Caenorhabditis elegans: one gene and its partners. The protein of the gene in region 2 interacts with the protein of the main gene of each other region in a pairwise test. Each region holds a gene or a part of one and is shown on either strand. Other genes may lie near its edges. The genes, in order: ceh-45, insc-1 and grsp-2.

Region 1 (7,657 bases), on a different chromosome or scaffold from region 2:
ATCTCTGTAATCCGATCTCCGTCGACTAAGTGGTCTGTTTAGGCATATACCAGGTGAGAAGATGAAGATGAAGCTGGAGGTGGTGAGGTGCTCAAGAGGACACGCACCACTTCTCACATAACTACCGTACCACCTCCAAGATGAGGCAAACTAATAATTTATGTGTCGTGTAAGTGTATGTGCATGTACAAATTGAGAGCAAATAATGATACAAATATATGACACATATTGAGTTTCTAGAAGCTCTCTAGGGCTCTGCCCTGAATTACATTTTTAACATTTTATCAGAAGAGCGCGATTGCACTCTTGCACGTGGTGTCAGAATGTCCCATTTTGGTTTGATCTCCGAGAAATGCGGGAGAAGAGACGCAGACTTTTCTACTGATTTTGCATGGTTAAGAGTGTACTGTCGTCACAAATTCCTGGGGGAAAAATTTCCGCCATTTTTGTAGATCAAACCGCAATGAGACTGACTGACACCACGTTATTTTGTTTCAGTGAAGTTTGCAGACTTCTTCTGATTCACGTAGTGCCAGGCTGTCTCCTTACGGTTTGATCTACAAAAAAATGCGGGAATTTTTTGCCCGAAAAATGTGACGTCAGCTTGAGAACTTTGCGTCTCTTCTCCCGCATTTTTTGTAGATCATAGATCAACGTAGATCAATCTAAAATGAGACACTGCTGATCAAATTGATCCAATTTTCAATGTTGTTTGAGACCGCTGTTCGAATTAAACGCAAATCTGGGTTCCAGAGCTAACGAATTATGATTTATCGGTAGAACGCAATTGCATTCGTAGATCAATGAACGAGTTTTTACAATTTCGCGGCCCCACAGAAAAGTCACGCGAGAAAAAAATTAACACAAGACTATAACTTTCTCACGTGGTGCCAGGCTGTCTTAATACAGTTTGATCTACAAAAAATGCGGGAATTTTTTGCCCTAAAAATGTGACGTCAGCACACTCTTAACCATGCGAAATCAGTTGAAAAGTCTGCGTCTCTTTTCCCGAATTTTTCGAAGATCAAAGATCAAACCAAAATGGGACACTTTGAGCTTCCGTGCTTTCTGAGCCCGTGTCTTTTTCCACACCCCGCTCATATATTTTTTCTAACAGCGAAAATTGGAATCTGCTTTCCTCTCTGTCATTCATAATTCAGAAATAATTCTAATTTCTTTGGAAAACATTGGATTAGCCTCTTAAAATGACTTCGCAACGTTTCCCACGAGAATTTGCAAAAGATTTGGGACCTTCGGCAGCGGGTGGGATTAGTGCGGCGGATTTTGACCGGATTTGCAGATTGGTGCATCGATGCAAAAGTAAACTGAAGAGAGTGGAACCCCCGAACAAGGGACTGGTGCCTTAAATCAGCGCCATGAGCCGCACCAATGGTCGGCGGCAGGTGCGAGAGGCGTAGGGGAGCCTGGAGACAGCTAGGTGTCACACCGCGGTGTGCAAACGCGCTCTGTTGAGAACATCATCAAATTTCCACATGATTACCTTCAGGGTAGGTATCTTAATACCGTACTTCCTCTTTAAAACAGTAATACCTTCCACACACACGCATAAATCGTTGCTGATAAAAATGCTAATTCGATTAATTTAGCAATGTGATTTTCCTTACAAACCCCCCTCTCCCCCCAAACGGCTACAGTAATCCGCCAGAGACCGGTCGGGCGGTGCGAATTTTACGGGGGATTATCTACAGTAACCAACCACCACAACAAAATGATAACGTGATTAGAATCGGATTAATTCGCCACATACATTTATTGACTTGACAAAATGAGAGGGGATGGGGGGGACTAGAATATAAAGAGGGGGTGGCCTGGATTTCCAGCTAGGTGGGGAATAGAGATTCAAATTATATGCTAACAAGGCTCCAACACCAAATTCTCGCTGTGCGATGTCTTCAGTGAGGCTTTTGATTCGGGCGAGCTCGTCTCTTTTCCGCTGGAATTTTCGCGTTTTATCCGTTTCACTTTTCGGGTGTCCTCGTCGCTCTCGTCACATTCGGAATCGTCTCCGCTGTGCTGAAAATGTAGAGAAATTTAGGTAAAAAAAAATCACTATTGGGTATTGAACCAAAAACTGTTGACACAAAAAACCGCGCCTACCACTGAGCCAATTTTACCGTTCTTGGCGGTGATGGAGGGAGACCGTGAGAGTACAGTAGAGCGCATTTGAAAATTAATTTTCAAAAAGTGTACTAGCTTACCTTAGAAGTCCGACTGTCGTCCTTCTTCTGCTTGCGCTCTTTTGCCCGACGATTTTTGAACCAGACCTGGAAGAGAAAATTTATTTAAAGAATATTATTTTAAAAATCGATTATTCAATTGATAAGGCACGTGGTGCTAGGCTGCCCCATTACAATTTGATCTACAAAAAATGTGGGAATTTTTTACCCAAAATTATGTGACGTCAGCACGTTCTTAACCATACAAAATCAGTCAAAAACTCTGCCACATTTCTTGTAGATCTACGTAGATCAAGCCAGCGCCGGCGGCCGAACTATGACGACGTCACTCCTCTTCCAGCGCCCCCCTCATCCTCTACAGGTTGAGATTTGCCGGGTTAAGTGAGTGAGGCAGGTGGAAGAAGATAAACGGAAGAAGAAGAGCTGTTGGTGGTGATGAAATAATTGAAAAGGGCCGACACGATTTAGGCAGGTGAGAGGTTGTAATTAGAGATTACCCCACAGACGGTTTTCCTCAGAAACACAGCTATATGGTATTATAGGGTTTAATGGACTCATTAACCCGGAATGTTCGGGTATTGTTTTTTTTTTTGCGAAAAAATAACTTTGAAATCTGTAAAAACCCGGGTAGTTGAAATCCGGGAAAACCCACTTTCGTGGATTTCAACTACCCGAGTTTTTTGTCTATTTCGCATAAGATTTTTAAAAGACCTTCAAAATGTGGTTAAAAACCACCAAAAAGCTTTAAAAATTCCGGAAAAAAACTCGGGTAGTTGAAATCCACGAAATTCAATTTCTATGGGGTTTCGGTCCCGTGGATTTCAACTATCCAAGTTTTTAAGTCTAATTCGCATAAGATTTTTAAAAAATCTTTAAAATGTTGTTCAAAACCACCAAAAAACTGTCAAAAATTTAGAAAAAAACTCGAGTAGTTGAAATCCGCGGAAACAAATTTTCCGGGAAAATGTGATTCCGCGGATTTCAACTACCCGAGTTTTTTTGTCTAATTTGCATCAAAATGTCGTTCAAAACCACCAAAAAGCTTAAAAAATTCTGGAAAAAAACTCGGGTGGTTGAAATCCGCGGAATTTAGATTTTGCGGGTCTTTTCAAAACTGTTTCAAATAATCTTAAAATTACTGAAAAGCCGCCCCAAGAGAACTACACGGCCAAGGATTGCTCCGCGCTTTTGTTAGGCCATTGAATTTTCTAGTCCCCAGGAATTTAATTTAGGCCAGCCAGTCTTACAAAATCGGTGGCCTAGGTGTGACGTCACTCCTCTTCCATTTACTCACCTCAACTCTTTCTTCCTTCAATGAGCACTGAACCGCGAGCTCTTCTCTCGTCGTAGCGTCCGGGTAGTGTGTCGTTGAAAATGTGGTCTCCAAAATGTTCAACTGCTCCTCGCTGAAAATGGTACGATGCCGGCGTTTTCGTCGGGAGGCGTAGTGTTGATGGTGATATGGAGCCATGAATGGAGGCATTAGTGGTCCGCAGAGCATTGCTGAAAAATTTTAGTTTTTGAACAGTAGAGCGCATTTTCAGCATCGCTTCCTTCTAGTTTATCACGTGGTGTCAGAGTGTCTCATTTCGGCTTGATCTTCGTTGATCTACAAAAAATGCGTGAGAAGAGACGCAGAGTTCTCAACTGATTTAGCATGACGTCACGATTTTTGGGCAAAAAATTCCCGCATTTTTTGTAGATCAAACCGTGATGGGACAGCCTGGCACCACGTGGTTTAGTTCTAATGGAGATTGTTATTGAAGCATGTGCGCTCTTTTGATAAACTACCGGTGTATCGACGTGGGCGATATTGATTTTTTTAAAAGTTCTTATCCAAATTCGAATTTGCGATTTTTTGAAATTACCGACAAAACGAAAAATGCGCTCCACGTGGGCCACACAAAAACTTACAGAAAAACGGATAATTAGCCGGATGAAACTGCCATGGCAGGGCAGAAGCCGCCGCTGCGGCTCCCACTGCTCCAAATGGATCTTGAAAATTGTGAAGCTGCGGAATTCCGGCCAACGGGTTCGAGAGCAATGTGTCAATTGAGAATGAGGTTGATGTGGACGGAGAGGAGGATGACGAGGAGATACTGGAAAATTGGGATGTTCCGAGAGGATTACACATGGAAAAATTTTGTTTTCACCCCCGTGGCCTAGAATGTCTTCAGAGGAAAACTCTTCCATGAAAAGCCCTTCACATATTTTTTAAAAATATTCCTAGGACACCATGAAATTTTCTAGGAGGATTTTGATTTTCAAAATGGAAGAGTTTGCAGAACCAGGTCATTTTGGCTCGGCCATATCTGGGGTAGATTTACGGCGCGTTGCGTGTCGCGTCGCGGCTTGAGTTTAGTTGTAAAACTAAGTGCATCTGTCCGTGTGGAGTACACGACTTTCCCACGCGTTGTCAGGCGGGCGATTGTCAATGGAGCACGAAAAATTCAATGAGAAACGCCAGAACACCGTGAATTTTCAAAAAAAAAAACAATTTAGAAATCTAAAATTTCAGGTAGAAATGGCCCCGGTGTACTTCTCTCGGACAAGTAGTGCAAAATTTTGTTTAGAATTTTGTATAAAAAATCTTGAATTTTCATTATTATTTATGGCAGTAAGAAAATTCTTTTTTTTTAATAAGTTGTCCGAGTGGAGTACGAACCTATTTAAAAAATATTTTAAGTGAAAAAAAAATGTTTAAAAAATGGAAAAACTTTTGAAACAAGTTTTGAAACAAAAAATTTTTGAAACAAAAAACTTTTTTTTAAAACTTTTTTATTTGATTTTTGCTTATACTAAATTGTACTTTACTAACACTACAGAACCCCCTTTAAAAGCCCCCCAAGGCTTCACACGAACCAAAAAAAAAAGGAACCAACCTTGCAGAATTCGGCGTCACCAATTTGTTCATAGTTTCAGGTGTCATTAAAAACGGGAAGGATGCCATGTGTCACACCGTAGTGGGGGATGCGATTCTTCAGTGTTGTTCCCCTCGTAGATCATCAGTGCCCGCCCACTTTTGTGCTTTTGGCGGTGATTGGGCCGGCACGCCCACTTTCTTCGTCGCGCGCCGACGTTTGGCGCAGTGGGGAAGAGAGGAGAGAGGTGTGAATAAATAGAGATTGAGAAACATTGAGGATCCCCTGCTTGTATCGGTGGCCTAGAATTTCGAATTTCAGTTTTCCGTTAAACATCGTGCCGGAAAATCGAAAAGTGTATAGAAATGACGTCATAAATGTATTTAAATACATTTCGAAAATCCTAGAACGTCTGTGGTCTAAAGCCTAAAACAAGGATTTCCTCGACTACAAGGACCAGGATTTGGCTTAGATTTTCCAATTTCTAGGCCATTGGGGTTTTCTAGACTACCAAGATTTTGTGAAACATATCTGAAAACAGCTTAAAATTGAAAAATTAAAGAGAACCCTCAAAATGAAGATATTCACTTGTCCGAGAGGAGTTCACACATTTTATTTTCATATTTAATAAGGCCTAGAATTTCGAATATCAAATTTTAAAATTCTAGGCCCCTCAGGTTTTTGTATTTTTGTACATTAAGATTTTGGTGTACAATGGGAGTACACATTGGAGAATAAATTTTGCAATTATATAGGCACGCGGTAGGCGGAGGTCGTTTTGAAGGCAGGTGAATTTTTTTATTTTCCAAGTTCAAATGTTGTTGGTTTTTAGAGTAGGCATGCGTGTAGGCAAAATGAATGCCTTGATAGGTACAAGGCAGGCCTTGAAGGTAGACCATGGTAGGTGGGGATAGGCTTTGATAGTCTTAGGGCACATTGATTGGTACAAGAAAAGTAATTGCACGTGGTGCCAGCCTGTTCCATTGCGGTTTGATCTACAAAAAATGCGGGAATTTTTTCCCGAAAAAACGTGACTTCAGCACATTCTTAACCATACGAAATCAGTTGAGAAGTCTCGTAGATCTACGTAGATCAAACTCTGGCGCCACGTGTAATAATAGGCACAAGCCATGCCTTGATAGGCTCAAGGTAGGCATTGAAGGTATTCCATGAAGGCAGGCATGCCTACTCGCTCTTACCCAGATATACATGTCATGGCAACTAGTCAACCTGTATACATACACACCCGTCTCTCCATTCTGTCAATTAGTTATCATGATTTACTGCCTGACGGCGGCGCGGCACAGTGTCAAGAATATGTAATATGTCTCTGTTTCTCCAATTCTCATGTCCCTTCTTCGGGCGAGGGTTTCAATTTGGGAAAGGTGGTGTGCATTCAAGTGTGAATATCTGTCGGTGATCCTTCCTTATTTTCTTACTTTTCATATCTGATCGTCCTTATTCGGATCATTCCCCTTATTATACACAGGTGTCCCTTCAGAATGGGGCGGCTGAAATTGAATAAGGGGGTCTGGAAAAACTTAGGATTAGGCTTAGTATTAGGCTTAGGCTTAGGCTTAGGCTTAGGCTTAGGTTTAGGCTTAGGCTTAGGCCTAGACTTAGGCTTTTGCTTAGGTTTAGGCTTAGGTTTAGGCTTTTGCTTAGGTTTAGGCTGAGGCTTAGGCTTAGGCTTGTGCTAGGCATAGGCTTAGGCTTAGGCTTAGGAGTAGTGTTAGAGTGTTAAATTTACCCTTTTTAGGATTTTTTACCGCAGAACTTAAGAGAATTCATCAAAAAAAAAAAGTTTGAAAAATTTTTTGTCCGAGTTTTTATTTTAAAGATTGACTATAACTGTTCTTGTGGTCTAAAATTCTCTAAAAACTCTTCCACGAGTCAAAATGTATAGATAATGACTTATACTCACCTAAAACTCTTTCAATACAGTATACTTTCCCACCAGACGAGTTAAGGTGTTAATGCTACCTCCCGCTGAGAGCCTCCCCCTGACACCTTTGCCCAAGAGCACCGCCCGTGCTTCCTGTGTCAAACATTACCCCATAAGTAACAAGAAAAAAGTGTTGAGATGGGGGAGAGGTGTGTAAATATTATAATGTTACTGTAGACTATATGGATAAGAAGATGTACTAGTCTAGGGGTCTATTGGATTAACTCCTTCTATACCATGGAAACATTCCGTTAATCCTGTGTTTACCGTTTTCATGGAGAGATAAAATATAAATTATAAAAGTTGTATCAAAGTATGAAAATCGTCAAGGAATTTTGGGAAAGGGCCGATTTTTTTTTGAAAAAAACTGGTTGAATAAAGTTTTTTTTTTCAATTCTTCGAAAATATGTTTAGCTTCGCTTTCCAAATTTTAGAGGCTTAAAATTTTAAATTTCAAAATTCCAGGCCACTGAGGTTTTTGGATTTTTGTACATTAAGGTTTTTTTTTGAACAGAAGGCGTACACAGAGGAAAATAAATTTTAAAATTATATAGGCACGCGGTAGGCGTAGGTCGCTTTGACGGCAGATTTACTTTTCTTTTTCCAAGTTCAAATGTTGTTGGTTTTTAGAGTAGGCATGCGTGTAGGCAAAA
Region 2 (8,617 bases):
TTTTGAGCCAACCCCGGTCTTGACACGACAGATTTTTGTACAATACGAACAGGCGTGCGCCTTTAATGAGTACTGTAGGTTCAAACTTTCGGAAATTTCATTTATTTTTCATAGTTTTTTGATTAATTGTTTTTTAGCTAATCGAATAAACAAAAAAAAACGATTGTTGTAAGACGAGGAAAAGTTCAATGTTCTCACAAGTGAAAGAGCTCCGTCAACTAGGTATAACTTATTCATTTGTACATTGAACATTTTGCAATTTCTAACGAAAAATACAGGGCCTAAAATTAGAAACTATTTTGATCAAAAGAAAGTTCATGGAAAAGCTCAGTTATTGTCCATTGAACCCAACGTGTACTCAATATCATCAAAAGAAACATCTTTACCAAAAAGCGATCTATGTCATCATTTCTGACTGGCCATCTGCTTTTTCTTCGTCTACCACTGCTGGCAGAATGATGATAAAGCATGTCGTGTCTATATGCCTGCGTCTAACATTGTATGTTTTCTTTTCTACTTGTCTTCTTCATCGATTCCCTCTGCGTCTCTTTCCTCTTTCTGATGTAATCGCAAAATTTACAGGAATCACATTTTGATTCCGCCCCGATTTGTATATAAATTGACTGTGAAACATACGTTTTTACATTGTTTACTAATTTTTTAATTCCTTTATAAACTCAAAACCTTTTTCAATCCGATATAATTTCAGGTGAAACATGGCTTATTTGGAGCGTGCCTATTTTGGTCTTCAGTGCTTCTGGGGAGAATCTGCATGGGCGAAGCTGAAAGGAGTTGTGGTGACACGAGTTGGATATGCTGGAGGAAAACAACCAAATCCTACTTATAAGAATATCAAGGATCATACTGAAATCACAGAGATCACTTTTGATCCAAAAGTTATTGAATACTCAAAGCTCACCAACTTCTTTTGGAAGCATCACAACCCAGCTGAAAGGAGAAAGAAGGTAATTTTCGAATTGACTTTAAAGTTTCAAATATTGTTCTACTGGAAAACGTAACAAAAAGTAAGTTCTAATTGATTATAATTTTTTAGGTTAAAATACATTTAAACTTCAAATTAATTCGTTTCAATTTCAGCAATACCAATCTGCGATTCTCTACGTAAATGACGACCAAAAGAAAGTCGCTGAAGAAACTTTGAAAGTAGCAAAGGACAAGCATGGAGACATTGAAACATATATTGAGCCATTGGACAAGTTCTATCAAGCTGAAGATTACCATCAAAAATATTGGTTCCGTCAAAAGAAGATTCTTTTCGATGAACTGTCTCTTCTTGATACTCAAGTTGCTGAAGGAGAACTTGCCACAAAATTGAACGCATATTGTGCTGGCTTCCAGGACTTCCACGATCTTGAGCGTCTTGCAAAAGAGTACGGATTAAAGGATTCTTTTGTCAATAAGGTGAAGGACTATGCTCTGTCAGGAGGAGATCCAAGAAACTGTCATGCTTAAATTATATGAATGTACAATCGAACTTTTATCAGGTTTTCAATGAATTTTATTTTATCACAGATTCTTGTGTTTGTTTGTTTAACAAAGGAAGATATTTGAATATTATACTGCACTTTCAGATTGGTATTTAGATTCCAACTTTGTGCGAATATTGTTGCATATCATATTAAATGGATTTGAAGAGTTGTTGTCATCATAAAGCACATTGCTCAAAATTGCGTAGGCTGTAACTTGAACATATATGAAACGTTGAATAATTCTGAAAATCTCACCATTATTACCATACAAGGCTTTGAGCCCAATTTCACTGTTAGCTAAAGTACCAATACATACAGCAGCTTTGTACCGTATCCTTCTACAGTAATCCGCATGGATTGGATGGGTAAGGGATAAAAATTCAAGAAGCACTGGAATTGCATTTTGATCAACCATTTGATGATCTAAATGACGGGCGGCAAGGCGAGAAAAGGCTGTAACAATTTGTTCCTGGACGAAGACAGTGGCACAATTTTCTCGATTATAAGCAGATATCAGACGACGAATTGAATTATTTCTGAAAATATTTACATTTACATGTTGCAAAAAACTTTTCAAAATCCCAAAATAGAGAGCGATCCTATAAATTTTCAGATTTTTTTTTAAATTCGAGACTGTTTTCAGTTTTATCTGGTAGGCTGGTTTACCGTTTTGTAGTTTCTAGGTAACTTGTAGCAATTGCTACAAAAGTTAGAACAAGGAATTCGCCTTGAAATTTTGCATTCATTTTCTACAATTACGTGCTATAGCTCAATTTAATGTTGGTTCAAATTTAATTTTGTACTGAGCTTTTGCGAAAATAGTTAAATGCTTAAAATTCAACAAACCTGTACATAATATCAACTCCATTTGGGTTCTGAAGTGTCACATTGTTCAATGCAGCGGTTGCCAAAAGCAAAGAGTCACCTGATTTACATTGATCTATTAGATCTGAAATTAATTATTTAGTCTCCAATTTTTATATTTAAATTGGTTACCCAAAAGTCTGGATATAATTGGTTCCACATGATTTAACCGAATGAATGCAGACTGAGGATTGGTAAGTTGTGTCAGAATACCAGCTGCCTCGACGGAACAGATTGATGAGGAAATGGATAAAAGTCTATCAATAACCAAATCCAAGCCTCCTTGCTGAAATTAATCAATTTGTATTGATTGAATTTGTATTGAATTTGTATTGAAAAGTATTGATTATAAAATATATCTAATTACCGTGAGCAAAGCAAGTGCTCCTTTTGAAACTCCACATAACACTGCCAATGTTCGAAGTAAAAATCTAAGAGTGTTCTCCTGTGGTTGATCATTCTTCATAATTCGAATAACTGATGAGATGCATCCTTTTTGAATTGCTTCAATACAAAGTTCATCTCCAAATAAACAAATATGAATAAGATGCTCTAAACAAATAGGTGTCAGACGATCTTTTCCATTACTTTCACATAGATTCTTGGATATTATCTGAAATTAAATATTTGAATGAATTGAATAGTTAAACTAAAAGTAACTTACCCTCACAAACACCAAAAGTACTGATTCTATAGACTTTCTGAGAAGAATCGCAAAAAAGTTTGTCATATTATTCATGTCAATTATTCCTTTATCTCGATTTCTGGAAAAACGTAAGGTAACATTTAATTTGTTTCAATAATAGATTTACTTTTGTAACTCTTGAACATTCATTTTTAATCGAGCCATTTCAGTCTTTGGAAGATAATTTGTACATGGAGATGATTCAAGCAGTTGGATGAACACAGAAGACTTAAATATTAACTTTTGTAACTTAATTCAGTATGCACAAAATACCTTTGCCAACAAATCTCTGCAAGTTGCTGGATCCAGAGCTGAAGAAAGAAGAGTATACAAAGCAGATGATGTTCTGAGAACATGATCCATTGTACCTGAATTTTCTCTTTAAAAATTCAATTTCCAAATAATGACTACTGACTAGCCATTCTCGCATAGCTTGGCATCCCTGTATCATCATCATCTTTACTTTCTTGTCGAGTTGAACAATTTGATCTTCGTTCGATTTGATCTCCGGAACATTGTCCAGAGTCGACACTTGTGATGCTATCCGAACGAGTACTGTATGGAGATCGGAGAATTGTATTTGCGCTGTCAGTGCTCATGTCTATTCTGTAATTGCAAAATTATTTTATCTTTAATGTTAAAAATAATTATTTAGTACCTGTTCATTGCCTGTTGAACATGTGCTCCATTAACAGTTATTGTGTTTGCTCTTGAAGAAGTTGGAACTGGTGGGGCCGGAGACAAAATTCCATTTCTTTGTGGTTGCACACTAGCTGAAAAAATTCAATTTTTCCAGCAAAAGATAACGAAATAAAAATTACTCACATTTCATAGAATTCCGTCGCAAAACCTGAAACTGTTCATACGACGGAGGCGCTGTTTTAGGAGTTGGTGTTCGACAACCAGATGGAGAGTTGCTCTTTTGGCTCAGAGCTCGTGAAATGTTTCCTCGGAAGCCGGGCAACTTGATCTGAATGGTTCAACATGTGTTGCCAATCAACGAAGCAATTAAGATAAAATTTAAGGGGTGGTGAAGGGATAGAAAACGAGAAAAAACGAAGGAATAAAAGAAAGTGAACTCACATTTCGAATTATTGCATCCTCGGTGTCCGTTGGGCAAGACTCTATAAAAACTCGAGTTTGAGAAACAGGACGGAAATGTTCAAAACTTGAAAGCATTTTTATGCCGCAAGTTTTCCCAGTGCTCTAGGGAAAGTTTAAGGAAAAGAGAGTTCATAAAATTTATGTTGGGAGTCAACTTTTTGTTTCTTGATTCCTTTTTTTAAGTTGCATTGTTTTCTATCTAGTCCAGATGAATTCAAGAAAAAATCGTTAAAATTGTATTGCGCAAAAATTGAAAAAATGATACTGCCTAAAATCCAGAATAATTTCATTTTTGCAAGGTATCAAGTTTCTTTCTTTCTGAAAAATTTAAGGGCATTTGACGTGTTTTAGCTCTCTCACTATCGTTATCAACTTTTAAATTCTCCACAAAATATTTACCAGCATGAACGGACGAGCACAAAGTAGTGCTACTTGAGTTATACTTGTCACTCAGACTGTTGTTCATCATCTCAGCGATAGAATTCCTTTCCAACAATTGAGGAAGACTTGCTGAAAGTTGTAACATTTATAAAGTAATTTTCATTTTGTTACTACCTGCACAATCATTTGCTCCACTTCGTAGCCTTGCTATCCTCCTTTGAGGTTTTGGAGGAGCTGATATATTGCCCAATGAAGTTGATAACATTGATTTGCTGAAAATAAAATAACAATTAATTTATATATTTTAAAATTTTGATGATTTGAATTACCGAAGAACCATTGATTTGAAAGTAATCAATAATACTACAAATGAATGAAATAATGAATTTATTCTTAATGCGGATCAAATTGCAAACTATCTCTTTCCCATTCCGCGCGGTAAATATCTTTTCGCACCAATAGCTACTGTTTGCTTTTTTGATTTGACTTTTGGAGTTGGAAGCTTGAAAGAAAATGTGGATAAAATAACTTATTTCTCAAACTTCTGTATATAAGAACTTTATACGAGACGAGAGATATTGATAGAAAGTAACAAAGAATCTCGGAAAGAGACATGCTCAACAACTTGAGAAAAGTCATTAATTATTTGAAGATGGCGGCCAAGATGACACCTGTTCGCATCCAATTTCTTGGCGGAACACAACAAAAATTAATTACAAAATTTTTGCTAAAATATTTCATTAAAGTAAAGAAGAAGAAGCTTGTAAAGCGAAAAAGAAGAGCAAAATGATTTGAATGACCGCAACTAGTCGGGTAACCCGACTCCCTGTGCATTGAACAACAAACAACCACTTTACCTGTAGCCGACCGAGATTTTCTTGGCTCCATAATATTCTTCATCGGGTAATTGTACGATAGATTCCGGAGTTGGAAGCAATGGTTTTGCATATAAAATTGTTTGGAGCTCGTCGTCTCGGGCATTTGCCAAACTTGAGAGCCATTGCTGATGAAACCGGGTTACAGTAGACTGAAATTAATTTTTATTAATAAACAGTTTTCATCTGATTTCTGATTTTTGCAATGTTTCAAGCTCATCAAAAATATTTCCAAGAGATTGCTTCTTTGTATCAGTTAACAATAATTTTTTGAAAGCATTTTTCAAGTAAAGCCTAAAGTTTAGAAGGGTCTCTTTTTTTTATTTCTTTCTATTATAAATTTTAATAACAATAAATTGAGACCTTTGGAGGTTGTGGAACTATATCGAATAAATTCTCGTTTTCCAGGGAATCCCAGAATCGGGCCAATCGGGCCATGTTTATATGAGCATTTAGCTGAAAAAAGTAAAAATTGAAAAGAAAGAATGAAAAGTGAAAGAAACGAGCAGTTCTAATTATTAGTTGTCACTTTCACTAGGACGCTCCAAGTATATTCATAATTTTATAAAGATATTGTTGTAAGAAGTGTGTCTCTTCTTGTCAATGCGCGATAATATCCAAGTGGGAAGCCCATCGGGACCTTGTGAATATTGTATGAAATAGAGAGACACAGAGAAAAGTGAAGGTGATAAATGATGAGTTTCTCAAAACAAACATAGACTTCTCTATTCGGGATCAGTTCATGCGCGCGGCAAGTGAGAAGAGATGAATCGACGTGGGACGCGGGAGGCAGGCGGAAGTAAGATTGAACGAAAAAAAACGAAATGTCAAAAAATTTGTGGAGCAAATATGCCAATTGGGTTCCGGTCTAGTTGAATGCATTGGACATGTTTTGAGGGAATGCAAATCAGCTGGTGAGTTACAAAGCAGGCGGAAGGGTAGAGGTCACAATATCTCAGAAATAGAGAGAAAGAGAGCAAGATGAGCACCCACAGGAGCAATTTGTGTACTACATAATATGATAAGATGTGCAGACTTTAATTTTAATTTATAAAAAATCTTGAATATATTATAAGTATCAGAACATTTAAAAACAGAAAAAAATTTTAGAGTTAAAATGAAAATTAATGTCATATCGTCTTTGGAAGACTAATAAAAATGTATATTTACGCAAATATTATAAGCTATAGATGGTGTTCAAATCACACGTTTTGGCATTTTTTGGCAATTTACCAAAAGTGTGTCTAAACATTTTTTTTCCAACAAAATACCAACTGGTGATTTAATCATGCCACAAAGCTGAATTTCTACACTTTTCAATAAACTTTTTCAGTTGAATATATAGATTTAAATTTACTAGAGCTTCAGGTATGATTTGATAAACGCGCCTACCTCAGACCTAAACTCCGGAGTTTGGTCAAATTTTAAAAAAATCTGTGATTTTCAAGTTTAACAAAGTTTAAAAAAGTTTGAAGTTTTAATTTAAAAGTTTAAATTATGTTTAAGTTTAGGCAGAAGCTTCTAGAAGTGAAATCTAATTTTTTTGTATATTTTGAAGAGACTCTTCAAATAAATTTCTATAAGCGAAAAATGCTCATTCTACATGATATATACCCCCAGGTAACCTAATTACACTAAAACACAATTGTTCCTAGAAGAAACTAAAGGTTATTGCTAATAAGTTTTTGTCTACTGTTCCTGCAAAGATAATTAACTTTTTTTATGATGAGTGCCTCCACTGAACAGCTAGAATTTCGTTTTGTTCTAACAATAAGTTTAAACAACACGTATTTTTCTGACTACTGTAGAATTCTCTAAAACCTATTAAAATTTAAAGGGCAATAAACGGTGTGATTTGGGAGAATAACACCTATCTCGTGGGTTCATAGAGGATATAAATCAGCCAAAAAACCCGCTGTGATTCTCCGCTTCTTGATGATAAAAAAGATAAATGAGTGTCTCTTTTCCTTCTGGCTCCGCATCAAAACGTCACAAAACAGTGGGGTTGATGAGTGACATATGGTTGATTTCCAAGTGGATTTTTGCGCCCACCACCACCAATTGTTCATCAAATAGGGATTGTCTGGAATATTTTTAGAATGCGGAAACCTTTTTTCCGAAAACCTTTCCCCAAAAAGCATTAGAATAATATGAAAATTACAAAAGGATTTATTTACAAAAGAACATTGTATCAATTATCTTTGGAAAAATATCAAGATTATATTTCAGGCTTCACTTGAATCATTTTCTAGGCCTGGAAATTTTTCAGAACGCGAGACAGTGTACAAGATGTAGAGGGCACAGGCAACTTGAATAACGAAACTCCGAAATGACACTCGTCGCGTTGTTTATCGTAAATCGACAAAGCACTTTTCTGAATTTTACTGTAGATGTAAAAGCTACGTTTTCTAGTTTTCAAGTTTTATCGTAGAAAATTGCTAGATTTTTCTGTTATTTCACAAACCTTGTTTCTAGGAAAACTATTTAAAATAAAGACCGGACCTAAAAATTGAGAATTTGAGCCAAATTTTTATTATCCGATAAGAATTAATTAAAATTCTAAACCAACATTTATTGAAGTTTTACAAGCACAGTTGATCTCTATAGTATTTTTGAGAATTCAATATAATTATCGACTTTTTGTTAAAACAATAATTTAGTGCATGAGTCATTCCTAGTGTTTCCTCATATTTCGTAATCATGCCGTAATCTCCGCCCATTGTCTCGTGTATCACATTTTATTTCAGAACTCCCATTTTATAAATGCCATATTTTTGCTTTTCTCCATTTTCTGTTTCTGGTCTTTGATACTGATGTCTTGTTCATTTGCCGTTCCCTATGAGAGTGAATAGGCAAACATCGCTCTTTTATTTTCGTTTTCCCTCTTTCGAATCGCGTTAAATTTCTAGATTTAATTTTTTAAGATGCACCGATGGATCAATACGTCGTTATACCTGTACATGCTAATTGATGCAGCTATCACTAACGTCTCATTTGGGTATTTTGCTCCAGGATGGAAGTTCAATTATGACTCATTTTTGGGCATCATCACGTTCTCCCTTCCTTATCACTTCACAACAACTCCATACGAATTTCAAATCTTCTCATTCATACGACAATCATTTTGTGCTATCGCGGTTCTTCTCATTATTCTCAACAAGAGGGAAAAAGTTAAAGTTTTGTTTCCTGTGGTGATTTGCAATGCAGTAGTCGTCTAC
Region 3 (6,450 bases), on a different chromosome or scaffold from region 2:
ATTTGGATATTTATTAGACCCAAAATAAAACAATAAACATTAGCACTTTACGACTAATACAAAATAATGCGCGAAACTGAGATGAATGAGATCGTGTATGCGAGAGTTGATGACCGCGTGATGTGCAATTATTTGCAAATCATTAAGAACAGGGCTTGGGGCAGTGAGTGCGGGTCACCTTGTTCTTCTTGGTGGGTCGATAATCAAACATCTTTGCACCAACGAGAACGTTTAGAGATATACAGAGGGAGAAAAGATGGAGAAGGTCAGCAGCCGGCAGTAGGCTCTTTTCTTCTTTAGATGGAATGGTTGATGGCAATCTGGTGAGAATAACATATTGAAAGTGTGAGAAGAAATCACAGTAATCCCGGAATATAATGCAAGAGAAAATCAGAGCATCAGATATGCTAACTTTTATGATCCAAGGAACAGCTAAAGTGCATTATAGATGCGAAAGTTTTAAAACTTTATTTTCGCGCATATCTGGAATTTTCAAAAAAAAAAAGGACAAGATTTTTCATTTCTAATTAGAACTATTTGCAAGCACAATAAAATTCAAATACCTTTTATTCTCGCAGTTTTACAAATTTACGGATTTTGAACAGTAGCAAATAGAATTGAAAAACTGCTTACTTCACAAACATTATACCGAATACTTTTACTCGTTAGCAATTTTTTCAAATGGATGTATTAATTTATTTTATTTAACGTTATATAGAAAACTGTATAATTTCAAAACAAAGACTTAATCCAATTTGTAAAAGATCCCAGTATTCCCATTCTTTTAGGCTTTCCATTTTTCTTCAGAGTTTGGCACTTTTTCACAAGTTTCTTATTTTGATCGTCCACAAACAGAATGGCACTTTGAGAAATGATTAATTCTTCTTTCAACAGAAAATTTTCAAGTCTGGAAGTTTCCCATTAAACATTGAACGCAATGTCAACTCACTTGTAGTTGTCCAATTCCCGTTTGATTTTATTTAGTTGTTCCTGTAGTTGATCTTCTCTGCTATTTCTTTGCGGCCTCATAATTTTTCTAATAGTAAGTCAAAAGAAACCGCTTTGAGTTTTAGGAAGAGGTTAAGGGAGACAATGGTGAATAGGAAATGAGTAGGAAGACAGGTAGGCAGACAGCAGGCTAGAATAACATAGATGACGTAGAGACCGTTGGGTATTACCAACTGCTAGTGGCGGTCGTATATAGAAAAATACAGGAAACAGGAGATTGCAAAACAATAATGACGTCTTGGAAACTATGAGAAGGTAACATTTATAAATATATTATATCAAGCAAACAAATTAAACAAGAAAAAACAACGATTTTATTATAGTACTTTTGCCAAAAAGTATTGCAAAACAAAAAGGTAATACATTAGGGATTCCGAATCAAAACTTGATTGAGGTGTCAATTGCAGTTAGTTTGAAATTAAAGTTGATATTGAAGACATTTACCATCCACGTCCCCATCCACCCCATGATGGGCGTCCCCATCCCCAGCGGGATCCACGTCCCCATCCTGGAATAATATTTGCAAAATTATAAAATCGGGGAAAAATTAATTTGGGTTATTTAAAAAAAAAACGAGAATGTACAAGGTTATAACGAATTAACATAAAACAATTAATGAGCTGTTTATGGTAACAAAGGTTGCTAAACACTCCAACTCACCATCACCTCTACCACCCCATCCAACACCACCATGACCTGAATTAGTAGTGAAAAAGTGAATCAATTTCCCGAATATTTCGATTTCCAAGAAAAAAACAATGTGATACATAACGTGATGTGAGTAATAATGAATTCAATGCAAAGTAAAATCAACTCTTACCTCCCCATCCGCCTCCTCTTCCGCCGCCTCCCCAACCTCCTGGACCTTGTTGTCCACCGCGACCTCCTAAATGTTGAAATGTTTTTATACATATATTAAAAGATAACACTAACCTCCTTGTTGACCTCCTTGGTTACCCCATCCACCTTGGGAACCACCTTGGGAGCCACCTTGTGATCCGCCTTGTCCTCCCCATCCACCTGGAAGATTGTGATCAATTATGCATGTTTTTTGAAACGATTTTCAACTTTTCATCAACCTATTCACAAGTTCTTTACTGTGATGGTAAACTTGCATCACCTTATTTGGTTTTCCAAGTCACACTTCCCCACTCTCATCGAATGTGAAGTTTTCAAATTCTTAGCTCCTCTTGCCCCAACTCTATATCTCTGTTTCTTTTTCTTTTTATTCAAAAATATAATAAAATCACTCACCTTGTTCACCTCCTTGATTTCCTCCTCGTCCACCACCACCTCCTTGATTGCCACCTTGTCCTCCTCCATTCTGTCCTCCCCATCCACCTTGAGATCCGCCATCTTGGCTTCCTCCCCATCCGCCTTGACCACCGGATCCTCCTCTTCCACCTCCACCATTTTGGCCACCTTGAGAGCCTCCCCATCCACCGGCGTTTGAGTTGCCTCCTGAAATAGTTTAAATTTCATATAACCTTCAAAATTTCAAAATTCATTGAACTTTAGTTTTCTCAAAAATAGAAATCAATCAATTTTTTGAAAATCAATATTGTATGTTTTTCCCACAAACCTTGTTGTCCACCCCATCCTCCTTGGCCGGATCCAGAATCACTTCTACTTGATCCTCCCCATCCACCGGATGATCCACCTTGTGAGCCTCCTTGTGATCCTCCCCATCCTCCAGCACTACTTCCACCGTCTTGGCCTCCCCAACCACCTAAAATCATTGAACATTCGTAAGACGTGATGAGATAACAAGACGATGATCATACTGTGTTTTTTCGTATGTATAATAATTTAATTCCAATATTTTAAAGGTTAAAATGAGATGTGTTTCACTCAGGAGGTGGGAGATGTGAAAACTCCGAAAAAAGTAGGTGAGGCCCGTGCATGAATTCCGCAATCCCCTTACCTGATCCACTTCCAGATCCTCCAGCTCCTGCGCCTCCTGATCCTCCTCGTCCACCACCGCTACCACCTCCGCGTCCTCCTCCAGATCCTCCACGACCACCACCTCGTCCGCCACCTGTTCCTCCTGCAGATGCTCCAGCACTTGCATCAGATCCTCCCCATCCTCCAGATGAACCGATTCCACTTCCAGCATCAGATCCACCAAAGAGACCATCACCTGAATCACCGCTTATACCTTGACGACCTGGGGATCCTGTTAAACTTTGTGATGTGTGAGATAGTGCAAGTGAGCAAAATTTGCAAATGTGTTTAATGTGATGTTAAGCACAAAATCATTGTAAATTTTCCTTTCAAAAATGTTATGTTTTAGAATTGTTGCGTTAGAAACTTAAAGAAAACACAACTTCGTGCAGAAAATAATCGATTTGAAATTCTTTTAGAAAAGCAAAGCAAATAACTAAATAAAAGTACCTAATAAAAATTCTTACCCTGAGCTGCCACGTAGGCTAAAACTACTGCAAGAAGCAGCAATGTGAGCCTCATTTTTGATACAAAGCTGAAATAAAATTATTTTTAAAACATATCGAAAAGTGGAAACTGGAAAAGATTTTGTCGGTAATAATCCTTTTATAAACCAGAGAAATATAAAAAATCACGGAAAATGAGAATAGTTTTGACACAGTCGTTTGATCAAATTGTCTGATTTTGTTTCTTCCTTTTATACGTCCATCTTCATCAACTGAAGATAATAACAATTTGTCCTCTTCTTTCTATCTATCATTTGACAAAGGAGATGATGACATGACGCATCCAGACCGTTACTACCATAATACACTCTTCACTTCCGCTTATTCGTCTAATTGTGACAAAAAAAATCAAAATTGAAAAAAAATGCCATGGTGGTATAATTGTTCACTTAAAAATGTTCAAAATGATTCATTCAATCTATTTCAAGAGAATATTTTAAAAAGAAGAATTTTTTTTGCGAATTCTTGGCTTGCTTCCGGTTCAAACTAATAATTATGTTTCGTATTCTGTTTTTCAGTTTATTAAAGATCTTGAAGTTAAACGTTAATTTTGATATCAATACTGATTACACGGCTTTCCATTATTCAGATTCCACTCTGGGGCTCCAGTATCCAGAAATTGGAATTTTAGATGAAGCTCAAAAATGGAACAGGGATGATCCCCAAAGGAGGGAGCCCCATCAGCCGAAAAATTGTTTGCAATGTAAATAAGTAAGCCCATATTTATACAGGAAATGCATATTTTAATTTTTTAAAAGTTAGAATAGAACTGCTTTATTGAATTTTATTTTGCTTTAATATACTTTAATATGCTTTAATAATAAACTTTAAAATGTCTGAGAAAGCCATTCCTGAAACATTCAAAACTCAATCGTATTCTTCGTGAGAAAAAACTGGTAAAACCGAAACAAATGTTGTTGATCTCTAGACTATCAGGGTATATAGCAATCAAGAAGGAAATGAAAAAGAAGAAGAAGACGAGAATGGTCAGTTTATGAAACAGTGTGTGTTTGGAGACGATTGAATGATTGATTATTGTTGGAAACTTGTGATGACTTCAAGAAGAAACGATAGGTCAGAATTTAAACAGAAACTGTGATAGGATACATTTATTTTCTGACTTCTGTTTTGTAACACAAAAATGTAATTTTTAGAGAGGAAAATGAATCAAAAAAATAAATCTGAGTAACTACAAAGTACAGAAGTGATATAACTATTTTGTAAAGAGTTTTTTCTTTCCACGATACTCAAATCTTCATCAAAGTACCAGTCAAAGCAGCGCAAATGTTTCCAACACTATTAACTCATTTAAATAGAAAATTGGGAGGTTTTTGTTTCTTCACAGGTAAAACGGAATTACTGAAAATTGGCTCAAAATGCCGCAGGCTGCTCCATGGCGAACAAACTGAGGTCCGCCGTTGGTCTGTCCCCAGCTGAAAGGCTAATCTCTTTTTAGTACTATAACGTTATAGTACGTATTCATGAGTAACTTTTTAAAAGGAATCTGTCAAATATCCCGAAAGAGGAAAAACTCTGTCTATGAGCTTGTTCGTCCAGATGCCCTTAGCCAATCAATCAGAACTGTCAAAAGTTGTGGAACAATCAATCAAAATTCAATGCACATGAAACTTTCTTCAATCATATATGTTTTCAAACAGATCACTTCTCGGCATAATTTCAGCCAATTGCAGCTAATTTTCCAAGAAAAAATATTCCTGGTTCAGACTGTCGCGGGACAAAAATGGCTGTAATTTTTAGTTATTTCCAGGCCCAAAACGTTTCAAATTTCTGCTAATTTATTGTTATTTTTTGAAAAAAAGATGGTGTTTCTTTCTCATATCATTTTTTGAGTTTTAGTTATAAAATGTGCATTATTATTCACGTCTGTTGCATTTATAAATATATATTTTTCTTTCACATATGTCTATGGATTTTCGGTTTTCTAGGGAGGAATTTAGTCATTGAGGAGCTAATCATAATTGAGTTTGCATTATTATTTTCAGTTTTTTCTGATGTGTTTTTGGTATGTTTCTTTCTTTTTTCTTGGAATTTAGGTTATAGAATATAGTGGTAGGTTGTATTTTATTTGTAATTTGTAATATTGCTTACCGATTTAATTTTTTTAAAGAATTTTTTTTAAAGAAAGTGAAAGTCAGAGATATAACTTTTCAAAAACTGAAACAAAAACTAAAATTTCTCACTGATCACTGTATACAGGTTTTTTTTTAAATTTAAACCTTAACAAAAACCTGCTAATATAATTTCATACAATTTTAGCTAATTTATCACAATTCTCTGAAATCGTTATTAGTTTGTATTACGATCCAGTTACAAATATGTGGAAGATTTCACAAAACAGAAGATCAAAAGTTCAAATGACCAATTTTTAAATATTTTTGTAAGATCCTTGTTAGTTTATAATAGCTCCTTATTAGTCTGAAGTATCCACGGTACATGGGTCCTTTACTCATCAAAATCTGAGTCAAATCCTAGACAACTCACTCCACCCACTGACTAGTTGTGGTCCCCTCGTGAAGCAACTGTTCCACTATATCTCTAAACTCTCTAAGATCTGTAATATATCTGAATTTCTCATTATCTCTTATCACAAGAGAGAAAGAGTACGCAGAGAGGGAGAGAAGAGATGACCCGAGTTGACCAACTTGCAAAATGAATAAATTGAGTTCAGATTTTGTGTAATAACTACTAGGATCACCTGAGTGTATGTTCATCTCGTGTTCTTCTTATTCAAATCACTTGTTATTTAACTAAGACTACTTCTAAATAATTTCATGCAATTTTGATCTCTAAAAATATTGAGAAAATGCAAACTGGTCGGCCTCCACCATTTTTCAAGCAAATGCATTATCCTCACGGTTAGTTTCAAGTTTAATGATTTTTTCGTTTTACAAACTTTAGATACTCATCTAAATGCTCAAAGTTATATCTGACAACTTATCCAAAAGTTATTTTGTACCGTATATTCTCTATT

The links.
Region 1: the proteins of insc-1 (region 2) and ceh-45 interact in a two-hybrid assay, tested with the Caenorhabditis elegans proteins (one large-scale study listed by BioGRID).
Region 3: the proteins of insc-1 (region 2) and grsp-2 interact in a two-hybrid assay, tested with the Caenorhabditis elegans proteins (one large-scale study listed by BioGRID).

What each region holds. Positions count from the first base shown.
Region 1 is NC_003279.8:1,125,850-1,133,506, reverse strand, and holds ceh-45 (Homeobox domain-containing protein), read right to left. Parts: upstream 5,184-7,657; 5' UTR 5,149-5,183; coding exon 5,081-5,148; intron 4,298-5,080; coding exon 4,113-4,297; intron 3,702-4,112; coding exon 3,493-3,701; intron 2,286-3,492; coding exon 2,220-2,285; intron 2,035-2,219; coding exon 1,873-2,034; 3' UTR 1,742-1,872; downstream 1-1,741.
Region 2 is NC_003280.10:7,356,133-7,364,749, reverse strand, and holds insc-1 (Protein inscuteable homologue C-terminal domain-containing protein), read right to left. Parts: upstream 5,838-8,617; coding exon 5,763-5,837; intron 5,552-5,762; coding exon 5,382-5,551; intron 4,797-5,381; coding exon 4,699-4,796; intron 4,654-4,698; coding exon 4,543-4,653; intron 4,164-4,542; coding exon 4,123-4,163; intron 4,010-4,122; coding exon 3,865-4,009; intron 3,813-3,864; coding exon 3,698-3,812; intron 3,646-3,697; coding exon 3,455-3,645; intron 3,408-3,454; coding exon 3,313-3,407; intron 3,268-3,312; coding exon 3,167-3,267; intron 3,119-3,166; coding exon 3,019-3,118; intron 2,968-3,018; coding exon 2,722-2,967; intron 2,641-2,721; coding exon 2,487-2,640; intron 2,440-2,486; coding exon 2,337-2,439; intron 2,027-2,336; coding exon 1,746-2,026; intron 1,698-1,745; coding exon 1,576-1,697; downstream 1-1,575. Other genes in the region: msra-1 (peptide-methionine (S)-S-oxide reductase), read left to right, coding at 717-965, 1,099-1,473; haf-2 (ABC-type antigen peptide transporter), read left to right, coding at 8,324-8,617.
Region 3 is NC_003282.8:8,813,372-8,819,821, reverse strand, and holds grsp-2 (Glycine-rich cell wall structural protein 1.8-like), read right to left. Parts: upstream 3,475-6,450; coding exon 3,420-3,474; intron 3,185-3,419; coding exon 2,933-3,184; intron 2,738-2,932; coding exon 2,591-2,737; intron 2,470-2,590; coding exon 2,263-2,469; intron 2,029-2,262; coding exon 1,942-2,028; intron 1,895-1,941; coding exon 1,829-1,894; coding exon of another isoform or gene 1,818-1,828; exon of another isoform or gene 1,705-1,817; coding exon 1,669-1,704; exon of another isoform or gene 1,517-1,668; coding exon 1,449-1,516; downstream 1-1,448. Other genes in the region: T28C6.10 (Transposase), read right to left, coding at 733-907, 950-1,029; exc-5 (DH domain-containing protein), read left to right, coding at 6,283-6,334.